Oryzias latipes: one gene and its partners. The protein of the gene in region 1 interacts with the protein of each later gene in a pairwise test. Links are inferred from orthologs where the notes say so. Each region holds a gene or a part of one and is shown in the gene's direction. Other genes may lie near its edges.

The links.
Region 2: the proteins of tnfaip3 (region 1) and trim23 interact in binary tests that used the Homo sapiens proteins (3 or more experiments, as listed by UniProt). The two-hybrid records come from large-scale screens. The link is inferred for Oryzias latipes from reciprocal best matches to the Homo sapiens genes TNFAIP3 and TRIM23.
Region 3: the proteins of tnfaip3 (region 1) and ywhag interact in binary tests that used the Homo sapiens proteins (3 or more experiments, as listed by UniProt). The link is inferred for Oryzias latipes from reciprocal best matches to the Homo sapiens genes TNFAIP3 and YWHAG.

The regions. Positions count from the first base shown.
Region 1 is NC_019873.2:16,684,796-16,689,054, forward strand, and holds the start of tnfaip3 (tumor necrosis factor alpha-induced protein 3), read left to right. Parts: upstream 1-1,391; 5' UTR 1,392-1,731; intron 1,732-2,844; 5' UTR 2,845-2,936; coding exon 2,937-3,240; intron 3,241-4,259. UniProt on the Homo sapiens protein: Ubiquitin-editing enzyme that contains both ubiquitin ligase and deubiquitinase activities.
Region 2 is NC_019870.2:3,055,377-3,058,539, reverse strand, and holds part of trim23 (E3 ubiquitin-protein ligase TRIM23), read left to right. Parts: intron 1-2,056; coding exon 2,057-2,191; intron 2,192-2,262; coding exon 2,263-2,392; intron 2,393-2,472; coding exon 2,473-2,583; intron 2,584-3,163.
Region 3 is NC_019871.2:9,989,383-9,993,639, reverse strand, and holds the start of ywhag (14-3-3 protein gamma), read left to right. Parts: upstream 1-1,438; 5' UTR 1,439-1,595; coding exon 1,596-1,682; intron 1,683-4,257. UniProt on the Homo sapiens protein: Adapter protein implicated in the regulation of a large spectrum of both general and specialized signaling pathways. Binds to a large number of partners, usually by recognition of a phosphoserine or phosphothreonine motif.

The DNA.
Region 1 (4,259 bases):
AGTGAGGGGCATCTCAGTACAGTTTTATAAGCTTTGCTCAGGTAAACAGGACCCAAAGCTTCATCTGTATATTTCTCCACAGTGGAGATCATAACTTTTACACCTGTTCCCACAGGTAAGTAAAATCCAAGATGTTGTATTTTTTTCAATTTGTGTTAATTTTCTTCTTTTGTATGGTAGTTTACCCATGTCTCTAATCTAGTTGTTGAATAATTAACAACTTAAAATACATTGTTTTGTAAAGACTTTATTTTGTTTGCATTTTTTTACATGATGTGTCATATAAATACTATCTTGTACTGGATTTGATTTAAAGTTGGGTTTTCTGCTTTAAGACATCAGCAAGAATGAATAAAAAAATTAATTTTCTTGTGGGGCTGTTTGATATTTCACAAACCCTGCAGACAATAGCAGAGAATCTTCTTGCACAATAAATACAGGGTGAATCATGTGCAACATCAGCAAACTCTGCTTGAGAGCTGGAGCAAAGTTTAACCGCTCCTACTTGGGTTGACCACATTGAGACGGTTGGTGTGCTCCACCACGCAGCTGATGCCCTAGCCATTGAGAGCTTGACAATCTCCACAAACGACAGGTGTGACATTTGGTTCAGGGATGTGTAGACTCTGAGGTTGCAGCATGTTTTTTTTAAGCTGCAAGTAAGCATATTTTGCTGGCATCTTTTTCTAAATTTGTGTATAAATCCAAATTTAAGGTCAAATAAGAAACATATAGGTTAAAAAAAGGAAAAATGTGCAAAAAATTGAGGTGAAGGAAAAATAAAATAAAATAAAGTTATACAACCAGCCAATTAAGTGGGAAAAAAACACATTCTTGTGCAGACCGTGGTGCTAAGAGTTGTTGGAGCAAAATACCTCAAAAAACAAAAATATTGAGGTGGTGCGTAGGACACACTCATGATTAGATGTTTTGTTTATTGCACTAACTGGTTACATTCTTGCAGCTTTGTATTTATTAGGATCTTGTGTTTGGTCTCTTATGTGCACAAAATAAAATGAATATGATTTAAATTGTGCATAAAACTTTTTTTTAAAAGGAGAAAACTGAATATATTTTTAAGTTACTACTGCATGACAGCAGGAGTAACGTTTTTGCTTCTAAAGCGGCAAAAGAATAGAAAAACATAATTTCCAAACAGTTGAAACAGTCTCACGTCATCACTGAAAGACTATTTTATGCTCAACTCGTGAGAAAGGGGACATCTGCTTCTCAGAATGTGTTTTTTGTTCCGTTTCCTGGCTTTTTAACTTGGAGAGGTCTGACTGAGGGGTAATGATTTATTTCATGAAATCGAGGATGACGCGACCTGTCTGTCTACCTCAGTGACGCTTCTTTGTGCTCAGTAGGTGGGATATGTTTCACGGTACTGAGTCAGACAGTGGAGCCCCTCCTAGCGGCAAAGTGCCGCAAGTGCACGTTTTTTTTTACAGAGAGGGAAATGGGTGGACGGAAAGTCCCTGTGTGGAAATCCCCCTAACTTCTTCTTTTTCTTTTTTTTCCTTTTTTAAAAACTAGTGTTAGTGGACGCCTGTAGTCTTTCGAAAGGCTTCGCGAGCATCAAAGGTTCCGAAATAGATCTGATAGGCTGTTGGAGGAAACAGAAGGGTGAATGGCGCCGAAGACTGCTGCGGTGAGGCTGAGTAAAGTGGCTGAGAGAGGACTTGCTTGAGCATCCGGGAGGCTTTGTTGTTACCCCGACATATTGCACAGGTAAGACGCCAGCCCCAACTCCTCCTTCTGCCTCCACATGTAGGCATTTCTGCACAATTCCGGGAGATTAAGCGGCTGAATCCCCGCTCGGGCCTCGAGGAAATGTACGGTCGTGGTTGTGGGGACATGGAGGAAGCGTGAAGCCTGCTCACGACAGCGGCGTTGACAGCCATTGTTTACAAAGACGTCACCGTGAAGCGGCTGGGCGACGCTTCCGCGCCACCGAATGCGCCGTCGGTGCCGCTGGCAGCGGCTTCTTGTCGGTCTGGAACGGCACATTGTTTCCATTGGAGTTGTCGTTGTAATTACGTAAGCCTCGAACGTCAGCGAAGTCTGCCGCGACCGTGCGGGCGCCGCTCTCCCGCACCGCTCATGCCGAGACGACCCGCGGGTCCACGGGCTCCCTGACGTCCAGCCCAGACACAGCAGCACGGCACCGCGGTCACCGGCGCTCCTGCACGGCCTTCCCTGCTGTTGCACCTGCTGCTGTTGAAGCCTGACATTCATTTGTCAACTTACTGGTTTCACTATCAGCTCAGAACTTCATGAATAGGCTGGGAAAGTTCTCATTTTAGCCCAAACTGCTCAACTAGACCCTCTGTACCACCTTCACGTGACTTTTGAGCTCTAATTTTTTACAACAATCTCTAATAAACTTTATTTGAATGTATAAAGTACAGAAAAAAACGTTTTAACAAATATTGAGTCCTGGCAATCTTTTAAATACACGTTTGACGCAAGCTAACAGCTGGTAAGGTGTTGACAGGAGGGGAAAGCCTGTCTCGTGACCTTCCCAGAAGCCCTAGCGATATTGGGTGGCCTGCAGTGTAACTCTGGAAAACACCAGTCTTTTGTTGGAAAGCTTTGAGATCAATGAAAAACCAGTCAAAGTGAAAAACACAGTATTAGAACACACCAGGAGATAAAGGTTTCTTTGTACGTAAGTTCGACCCTTTTGGAGAATCACCTAACTTGATCCACAAAGGAACCCTTTACTGTGATTGGTGGTTTCCTGAGGAAAATTAAATACTAGGTGAAATCTAGGTTTGGAGCCTGTGATGTTGTTTAGGGTTGTAAGATCACTTATTTTGTTTTACCTCTCTGTGTCTCTAGCCTGCAAGTTGCTGGGTCATCGTCGGCTGGTGCTTCCTCCTCCTCTCCTCACTCCTTTTCCTCCCCTCCACCCATTCTCCTGGCCATCCGTCATGTCGCAGGGCCAGAACTTCCTCCCCAAATTCCTGTTTGTCTCTAACCTGCTGAAGGCGGTGAAGATCCGCCAGCGAGTGCCCAATGATGTGGTGAAGCCTTCCACCAGCGGCCTCATGCATCACCTGCGCGGAATGCACCGCTACACGCTAGAGATGATCGCCATGAACCACTTTCCTCAGGCCTTCAGGGAGGTAGTTCAAGCCGCCATCTTGGACCGAGCCATGCAGGCCTCGTTAGAGCAGGAGAAGAAGCTCAACTGGTGTCGGGAGTTGAAGAAGATGGTACCTTTACGCACCAACGGTAAGAAATGCTACTTCCGAGAAGAAATTTTGGGCAGTATGTTTAGGCAAAGATCCACAAAGTTGGTTGGATTTTTGAAAACACAAACCCTGTGGTCCTTTGTTAGTTCAAAACTTTTTTGTGTCAATTTTAGAAACAACAGATGTCATCCCCCCACAGAGGCGTTAACTTTTGTTTCATTTTCTATGTCAGAGAAGGTTTGTGTTCATGAGATAGGAGGATCTGATATGCACATTCTGAGATGTCATTACTCACAAGAGGGGTTACTGTAAATGACATCAACCGAGGTGCATGGGTTCCACTTTCACACCGGCTCCTTTGGGTCATGTTTTCTGTTACGTAGGAGCTGTAATGTGGGAACATCCCGAGGCAGACAAACATTTACTTTGGGGCCTTGACGCATTGTACTTGGAAATTCATCACGCTGCACTATTGTTTACGGTCAGCAATGAGTGTTTCCATTTTTTAAAAGTTGAGGGGTTTATCCCCTGCTTTTTCTGTGGGTGTGTGCAAGTGGGGGTGTCTCTGTGAGGGGTGTGAAGGTCAATGAATCTTTTTAAAATGCCTCCACGCCCCATGTTTCCATCCAGTCTCTGTCACATGTTTCACCCCCCTTGTCAGACTGCGGTCACTCAAATGTGACTGAATACAAATTTTCTGCTGGGAGGCATTGCTTTCTGCCTCACATATAACCTGAAGATGTCTGTTGTGACAGTCTGATGTGATGTAAGGTTTAAAAAGACATATATTTACTGGTATAATCACAGTTAATGCACACAACAAAAGGAGGAAATGGAAAATGAATTGGTTAATTTTTCTTCACAATGTGAAGTTTCCAAGGGAAATAGTTCTGTTTCATGTCAGGGGTTTCTTGATGTATTCCATCTCAAAGTGTAGCTTCAATTGTTTTTGGATGCATGAGGAACTTGCAGGATGTGTCATGCATCGCAGTATATGCAAACAGTGAAGTTCAGTATTAACTAAGCAACTTCCTGTAACTCATCAATACTTAGTTCCTC
Region 2 (3,163 bases), on another chromosome or scaffold:
CAACACATTAACTCACAACACAACACAATAACTCACAACACATTAACTCATAACACAACACATTAACTCACAACACATTAACTCACAACACAACACAATAACTCACAACACAACACATTAACTCACAACACAACACAATAACTCACAACAGATTAACTCACAACACAACACATTAACTCACAACGGAAGTAAAGCAGCAATGGAAGTGCTTTTATTCTGAAATTTCCACTGGGCTGATTGGCTAACTGCCTAACAGAAAGTAACGTCACAGTGAGCTGTGGAGGGAGCATGTTTCTTCTACAAGAGAAGCTACACAATGTTAACGCACACTCCTCCGCGCTGCACTCACACCCCTCTCTGTCGCTGCGCGTGCTCCGCTCCTCTCCGTTCTTCAGCCCCCTCCTCTCACACTCACTCGGTCCCCAACACCCCCCACCCACCCACACACCCTCCCAGTCCCTGCACGCGCTCCTCTCCTTTCTTCCCCTCCCTCTTCCTCTCACACACGCACGCGGTCCCCAACACTTGACACGACACATGTGGAGAAATCCCCACTGTCAGGCTTTAATGAACACAATTTCTAAGAGGCGGGGCGTTGCACTCCCCCAACAACAGGTTAGATGACAAAACCCGGTCCATTAAGCTCTGCCGTTCACGGAGCTTCAGTAGAACTCCAAAAGCCACACGGCCTAACGTAGGCCGCTATTATATATTCATGAGTGGGAAAAAACCCGCTGAACCGACCTTTAAACCATACAAATTATGCATTTTTGACCGCAAATTTACACCCAAAACCGCCCAATCTGGCAACGCTGCTGCTAGCTTCTCTTGTAGAAAATCATGCTCCCTCCACAGCTCACTGTGACGTTACTTTCTGTGAGGCAGTTAGCCGCTCAGCCCAGTTGAAATTTCAGAATAAAAGCACTTCCATTGCAGCTTTACTTCCGTTGTGAGTTAATGTGTTGTGTTGTGAGTTAATGTGTTGTGAGTTATTGTGTTGTGTTGTGAGTTATTGTGTTGTATTGTGAGTTAATGTGTTGTGTTGTGAGTTATTGTGTTGTGTTGTGAGTTAATGTGTTGTGTTGTGAGTTATTGTGTTGTGTTGTGATTAATGTGTTGTGTTGTGAGTTAATGTGTTGTGTTGTAAAGTTAATGTGTTGTGTGTAAAGTTAATGTGTTGTGTTGTAATTTATTGTGTTGTGTTGTGAGTTATTGTGTTGTGTTGTGAGTTAATGTGTTGTGTTGTGAGTTAATGTGTTGTGTTGTGAGTTATTGTGTTGTGTTGTGATTAATGTGTTGTGTTGTGAGTTAATGTGTTGTGTTGTAAAGTTAATGTGTTGTGTGTAAAGTTAATGTGTTGTGTGTAAAGTTAATTTGTTGTGTTGTGATTTAATGTGTTGTGTGTAAAGTTAATGTGTTGTGTTGTGAGTTAATGTGTTGTGTGTAAAGTTAATGTGTTGTGTTGTGACCCTTCTGGGCCACCGTACTAAATAGTGCCTTCAGCATTTTCTAGTTCTGTCCGAATCTACAATTCCAAAATCCAGTGCCCTGGAAATTTCCCTGAAGTCTCTGCAAAAAAACCTGTGTGCATCGATGCTCACTATATCATTTAATATAGACCACAATGCATTGCGTCGGAACATTTTATACCAAAATAAATGCGTTAAAATGTATTTTTTTAATAGACCATCAATGTTTTTATTTTCAGGAGACAGTGGACTCATAAATAATCGTCGCAAAACGCTCACAGCACTTCGTGAAATTGATGACATCATATTCGCCGTTTAAAACAAAAGTAGTGAGCGTGGCGTCCGAATTGCTGTTAAAATTCAGGGCTCGACATAGTGCAGCACTATAGAGTTTTTTAGTAGTTAGGGGTTATGGTGGGAATTTGGACAGAGCCTTGATCTTATTTTGAAAATGTTCGTGTGTTTTAGAATTTGGATCAGTTTTTTTGTTCATGATAACTTCTCTGAATCAGTAGGAGTAGAGTGGTGCGTTCCAAGGCATTGAAAGCACCGTGTTGTGTTTGCGTGCGGCTTCTCTCCCGATGCAGGACGACTGCAGGGTTGTTCTGGCAAAGCAGGAGATCAGCTGTTTACTGGAGACGCTTCAGAAGCAGCAGCACCAGTTCACGGAGCTGGCAGACCACATCCAGCTGGACGCCGGCATCCCCGTCACCTTCACCAAGGTCTTCGTCTGCGTTTGGAAACCTTTGCCTCGCGGTGACAAACCCAAAGCTAAACTGAAACGTGTCTTCAGGACAACCGAGTTCACATCGGACCAAAGATGGAGATCCGGGTGGTGACTCTGGGGCTCGATGGGGCTGGAAAAACAACCATTCTATTCAAGCTGAAGCAAGACGAGTTCATGCAGCCCATCCCAACCATCGGTAAAGACGTCTGCACTGGTTAACCATACGATCTTTGAAAGATTGAGTTGAATGAAACTTGGTTCTGGTTCTTTTTTGAGGCTTCAACGTGGAGACCGTCGAGTACAAGAACTTAAAATTTACCATCTGGGACGTTGGTGGAAAGCATAAGCTGAGGCCGCTCTGGAAACACTATTATCTCAACACTCAAGGTTGGTGCTTCACTTGTTATTCTTCTGATTAACTTATAGTGGTTAAATGAAAAAGGAGATTTTGCTCAGCTTTAGTTTCTTTTTTTATCGACCAAGAACTTCGCAGATGGGGTCTTCTGGAAATTGTCTCAGTAACAGCAGGAACAGACTTTTTTTTAACTTTATCTAAAGTTGTTTTTAGACTTTTTTTTGTAAACTCACTTTGAGGGAATTGCACCACAGACTTGTCCTGTAGTCGTCCTCATCCAGAGAGTCGAGTTGTAGTAAATGCTTGTGTGCAAAGCTCACTTTAAGCTGACTGCATATGAAAACTGGACGGAGTGACTCCTCCCCCCTGGCGTCCCAAACAGGAGGTAAATCCTGGCTCCCAGAAGCCAAAAACCTATAGACTTCTATAAATAAACCGCTATTACTCAATCAATGAATGATTTTTCACCTTTTCTATCACAATTTAAGGCTCCAGCAGAAAGAAATGGATCAGAGTAGAACTACCAATCAGATTGACTTGATTTCAATTTATTTAACAATTTACATTTAAACCAAATGGATGTTATTTTTACTTTTGCATAATTAGTGACAT
Region 3 (4,257 bases), on another chromosome or scaffold:
AGCAGGACACAAGCTCCCTGCTCTGCGCTATTGCAATGCATCTACTTGCAGACGAATACATCCATTGACTTTTACTTTTTTTCTCGTCTGAGATGGAATCTGGCAAGAGACGGTACGGCTGAATAGCTCCAATATTGCTCGCCATTTTTGTTGCACCGCTAGCGTTAGCTTGGGGTTGTAAGTTAGTGGGAGAAGTGTAACCACACCCAACACCGAGCAAACTTCTAATGAACCACTGCCACTCTGCAGAAACTATGTCCTAGAAACGGACACAGAATTTTTTTTTTTAATTATTTTGCCCCAAAACAGTATAATGATAATTAAAAAAACACTGGAAATTTTTTTTTAAATAGATTAAAAATGACTGGAGTGGGACTTTAAAGCTTGAATGCTGACAAACACATGATACTATGAGCAAAAAAGGCAAAGGTCGCCTTTTAATTAAACCTTGTCTATGTAACAGAATTAACATCTAGTTTCAAGACTTTGACTTTTGTTCAAGTTAACCCATAGCTGTGTTCAGCTTCAAAACTATAGTGGGGGTAAAAAAGCAGTTTCTTCCTCAAGATCAGGATGTTTCAGCAAAATATAAAATCACCATGAGAAAAAAGTTATTCTGATTTAGTTCAAATTCAGAACTCAAATGAAAAACAAAACCCAAAAGAAATTGCCAACAATATTTAAATAATCGGAAAGTGGCGTGAGATTCTGGCAAAGCCTCCCCATGGCGCGGTGGCAGTTGTATTTGTGAATGTAGCATTACTGGCATTGTTCCAACACTTCTACGGCTGTACAGTAATCCCCCGCCCATTCGCGGTTTAATATTCGCGCCCCGCCCATTCGCGGGTGGCCACAGATGACGTGACGTCAGAAGCATGAGGCACAGAACAGCGCTCAGTCCGCAAATTTTGAAAAACGATTTACTCTGTACTTTACTGTAAAGTATTGTTTACGCGTTTAAGATGCCATCCAAACACCCTGCATCATCTCCAGCTTCTGGAAATGAACCCAAACGGCAGAAAAAGGTTCTGACTCTGCAGAGGCTCTGGCTCTGGGAGTTTTAAAACAGCGTCAATCATTCGCGGATTTTTGTTATTCGCAGGGGGTGAGGAACGTAACCCCCGCGAATACGGGGGGATTACTGTATAGCAAAAAAACTGATTGGATTTCTTTGGAACCGGAAGCAAGTAATTTGCTCTAAGTAACATCACACTTCCTATACAGTCAATGGTTTGGAAACAAAGGGGGCTTTCGGAAAGCTGAAGCCCTGGAAATCACAGCCGTTTTACACGGCCATGCCCACAAGCCTGGCCCACTATCCCCCATGTACGGAGCGTTACATCATTGGCACAGACACCCACCTTCCCGAGTGATGACGCAGCCCATGGAGGAGAAGCAGGAGGAGGAGGAATGTGAGAGGGTGGGGGTGAGGAGAGGGTGTCCCGTCTGCGCGCAGCTCAGTCAGACAGCAGAGAGCAGCTGCAGCAGAAGGCTCGTGTTAAGTTTCACTGCATTGCGATTTCAAATATCGATTATTTTACCCACATAAGCCACCCGAATAAGCTTGACTAGGCAACCAAATATCATAGAAGAAAATGGTTGATCGCGAGCAGCTGGTGCAGAAAGCCAGGCTGGCTGAACAGGCTGAGCGGTATGATGACATGGCAGCTGCTATGAAGTCGGTAAGTCACTTTCCAGAGAGGATGAAAATCGTGTGAGTGATGGTGAGTCTGCTGCGTCTGCGTAAAAACGCGCCACGGCTGTAAATCTGCGCGCACGCTGGCTCAATTTTACCGGCGCACTGATCCAAAAAATTCGAATTTAATCATAATTTGCTCCACAGTTGAGGCAATGTTGACACCTCACGTCCTCTTTTTTTTGGAAAATTATTTTTCATTTTTTACTCAGCAGTCGGGTCCAGACTTTCCGGTGTTTGGGCGGTGCCTCTGTCGGTTGTACATTTTATTGAAAGGGTATTAGAATGAAATGCATGCAAGCCCCACTATGCATCATCTGCCGCTCATCATATAATGGCCTTGCTCACTTCCATTAACTGCCCCCCCCCCCCCCTCTTGTAGTACCCCACCTCCTCTCCCTCCATTATGTTGAATTCATACAGTTGGAGCCTCTGCTACATCATGTGAGCTGCCTCCACCCCCATCCCCCATTCTCTTATACTTATCACTTAAATTATAACGATAATAATTACCCACAACTGCTCATGTTGATACAAGGCTTAAGGGCATTATCTGAGCATGATCACCTCAGGAAAAAGCCTCTCTAATCCTTCATTTCATCAAATAGGAGGCAGCACTAGAATATCTGCTGTCATATTGCAGAGACTTATTTCTATCCCAGACGTTTTAGACTCTCGTCTGTGCTCGTGTCCGTCCTGAGTGTGTCAGGGCTGAAATCCAGGGGCGATTTAAAGTTATTTCAGGGGGACGACCCTGATTGAGCAGTGCAATATATGATGGGAAGAGGATGACATGGCTGGCTTGCCACACATTAGCTCTCTCAGCTCTTATTGGCTGCTCAGGACTAAGTCTTTGTCTGCTTTTTCTTCCTCTTTCCCCCTCCCTCTCTCCTTTGGGGCCCTTAAGAAATTTTGACACCGGATGCACCGGTGGGCATTAAGAACTGCTGTGTCACACCAGCTCACAGTGAAACCAGCAGCATCCAGACTTGCCAGTCCATGCCCAGATAAAGAGCCCGGCACGGGAGGAACATTGTGTCTTAATGCCCCTGTAGAACATCAGAGCCTATTTGGATCGTTTGCCATGAAGGGTTTCTGGTTGCAGGTGGTGAGGAGGGATTCCTTTGCCTTTCTTGATTCTTTTGAAGAAGAGGTGGGATGGGGTGGCGGTGAGGGGTGCCCTTTTATTCGAAGGGAATCCCTTGCCACTGCATCCACAAATGACAAATGAGAGGCTGTCACCTTCGTGTTCCTCATGAAAAATGCAACGCTGCTCTTCGTGGTTATCAATTAAAGAAATGGCCTTCACAAATCAGCTTCGACCAGCAGCGTGAAACCAGAAAAATCAATCCAATTGTTAAAAAAAAAAAATTTTTTCTTGACACCAGCAAATATTTCCTTCGTCATTCAAATAACGGATGGGCCACTCTTAATGACCTTGTTGTAACCCTTCAATAATGACAATTGAACGCCAAAATGTTTGATGTACGCCGAGCATAGCTGCAGTTCCAGCAGTGATCGCTGCAATCATTAAATTTTAAGTGCTCCTCTGTTCGTGCGCTCTACAAAAATTATTATCAGATCAATATGAATCTGCTTCATTTCATAGCGAAAGCCTCACAGTTGTCGCCTGCGGTCAAATCGGATCATTGCGTGTGCATTTTTGGACAGGCCCTGTGAAGGCAATTCCATCTGTGCCAATTTAGTGACGTCACGTGTGCCATCTTTACGCCCCTCTGACTGAACAGAGAAAAATTGAAAGCGTTGGTATAGTACAGCTGAATATCAGTGTGTCTTTCCTGCATATGTAACAGCCGTTTTTGAAAACTCCATCGATCTATGCCAGCACAGAGCGCCTCTTCCAATCATTTACCCAGAGTGGTATGACCTCTGTGCAGTCATACTGATCCATCCAGATCCAAAATTATCTGTCCGAGTCAGAGTGATGTCACATCACGGAGCTTAAAACAGGTAAAAAGGTCACTTAGAGCCGAAGAGAAGGTCAGTGGGACACGTGCAGTGACAGTTTTCATTTACACTGCAGCTGCCCTTGAGTCCTTGTGGGAACATTTCTGTCTCCATCCTTCTCGTGCCCCCCCCTCACTGGAGCAATCTAAGTACAATATAATTTCTCACTAGCTAGCATTAGATGTACACGTGGCAGCTGGAGCTACTGATGTCTAAATGAATGGATTGCCATGGAAACTAGGAATTGGACAAGCCCAATCTCACTCATTCGCGTCACTGCAGACGACACTGACCGAATGATAGAAGGATGGATCCTTTCTCCGGATGAGCCAAACTAATTGTCATTGTGCAATGATTCCATTGTTTTCTTTCATTGCTTTACAAATGTAGTTTGTGGGCCTCAGGAGAAATTCTTTAAGTGCATCCCTATAGAGTGATTTGCCGTCATTGCAATCAGACTGGAAGGGGAAGATGAGTTAGCTGTTTTATAACAGATTGTTCTTAGCAAATTTATTTCAACAGTTTTTAAAAGATAGAAAAAAGCCTTCCCTTTTTTAATATTTCGTGAAAGATTTATTTTCTTAGTCAAAATT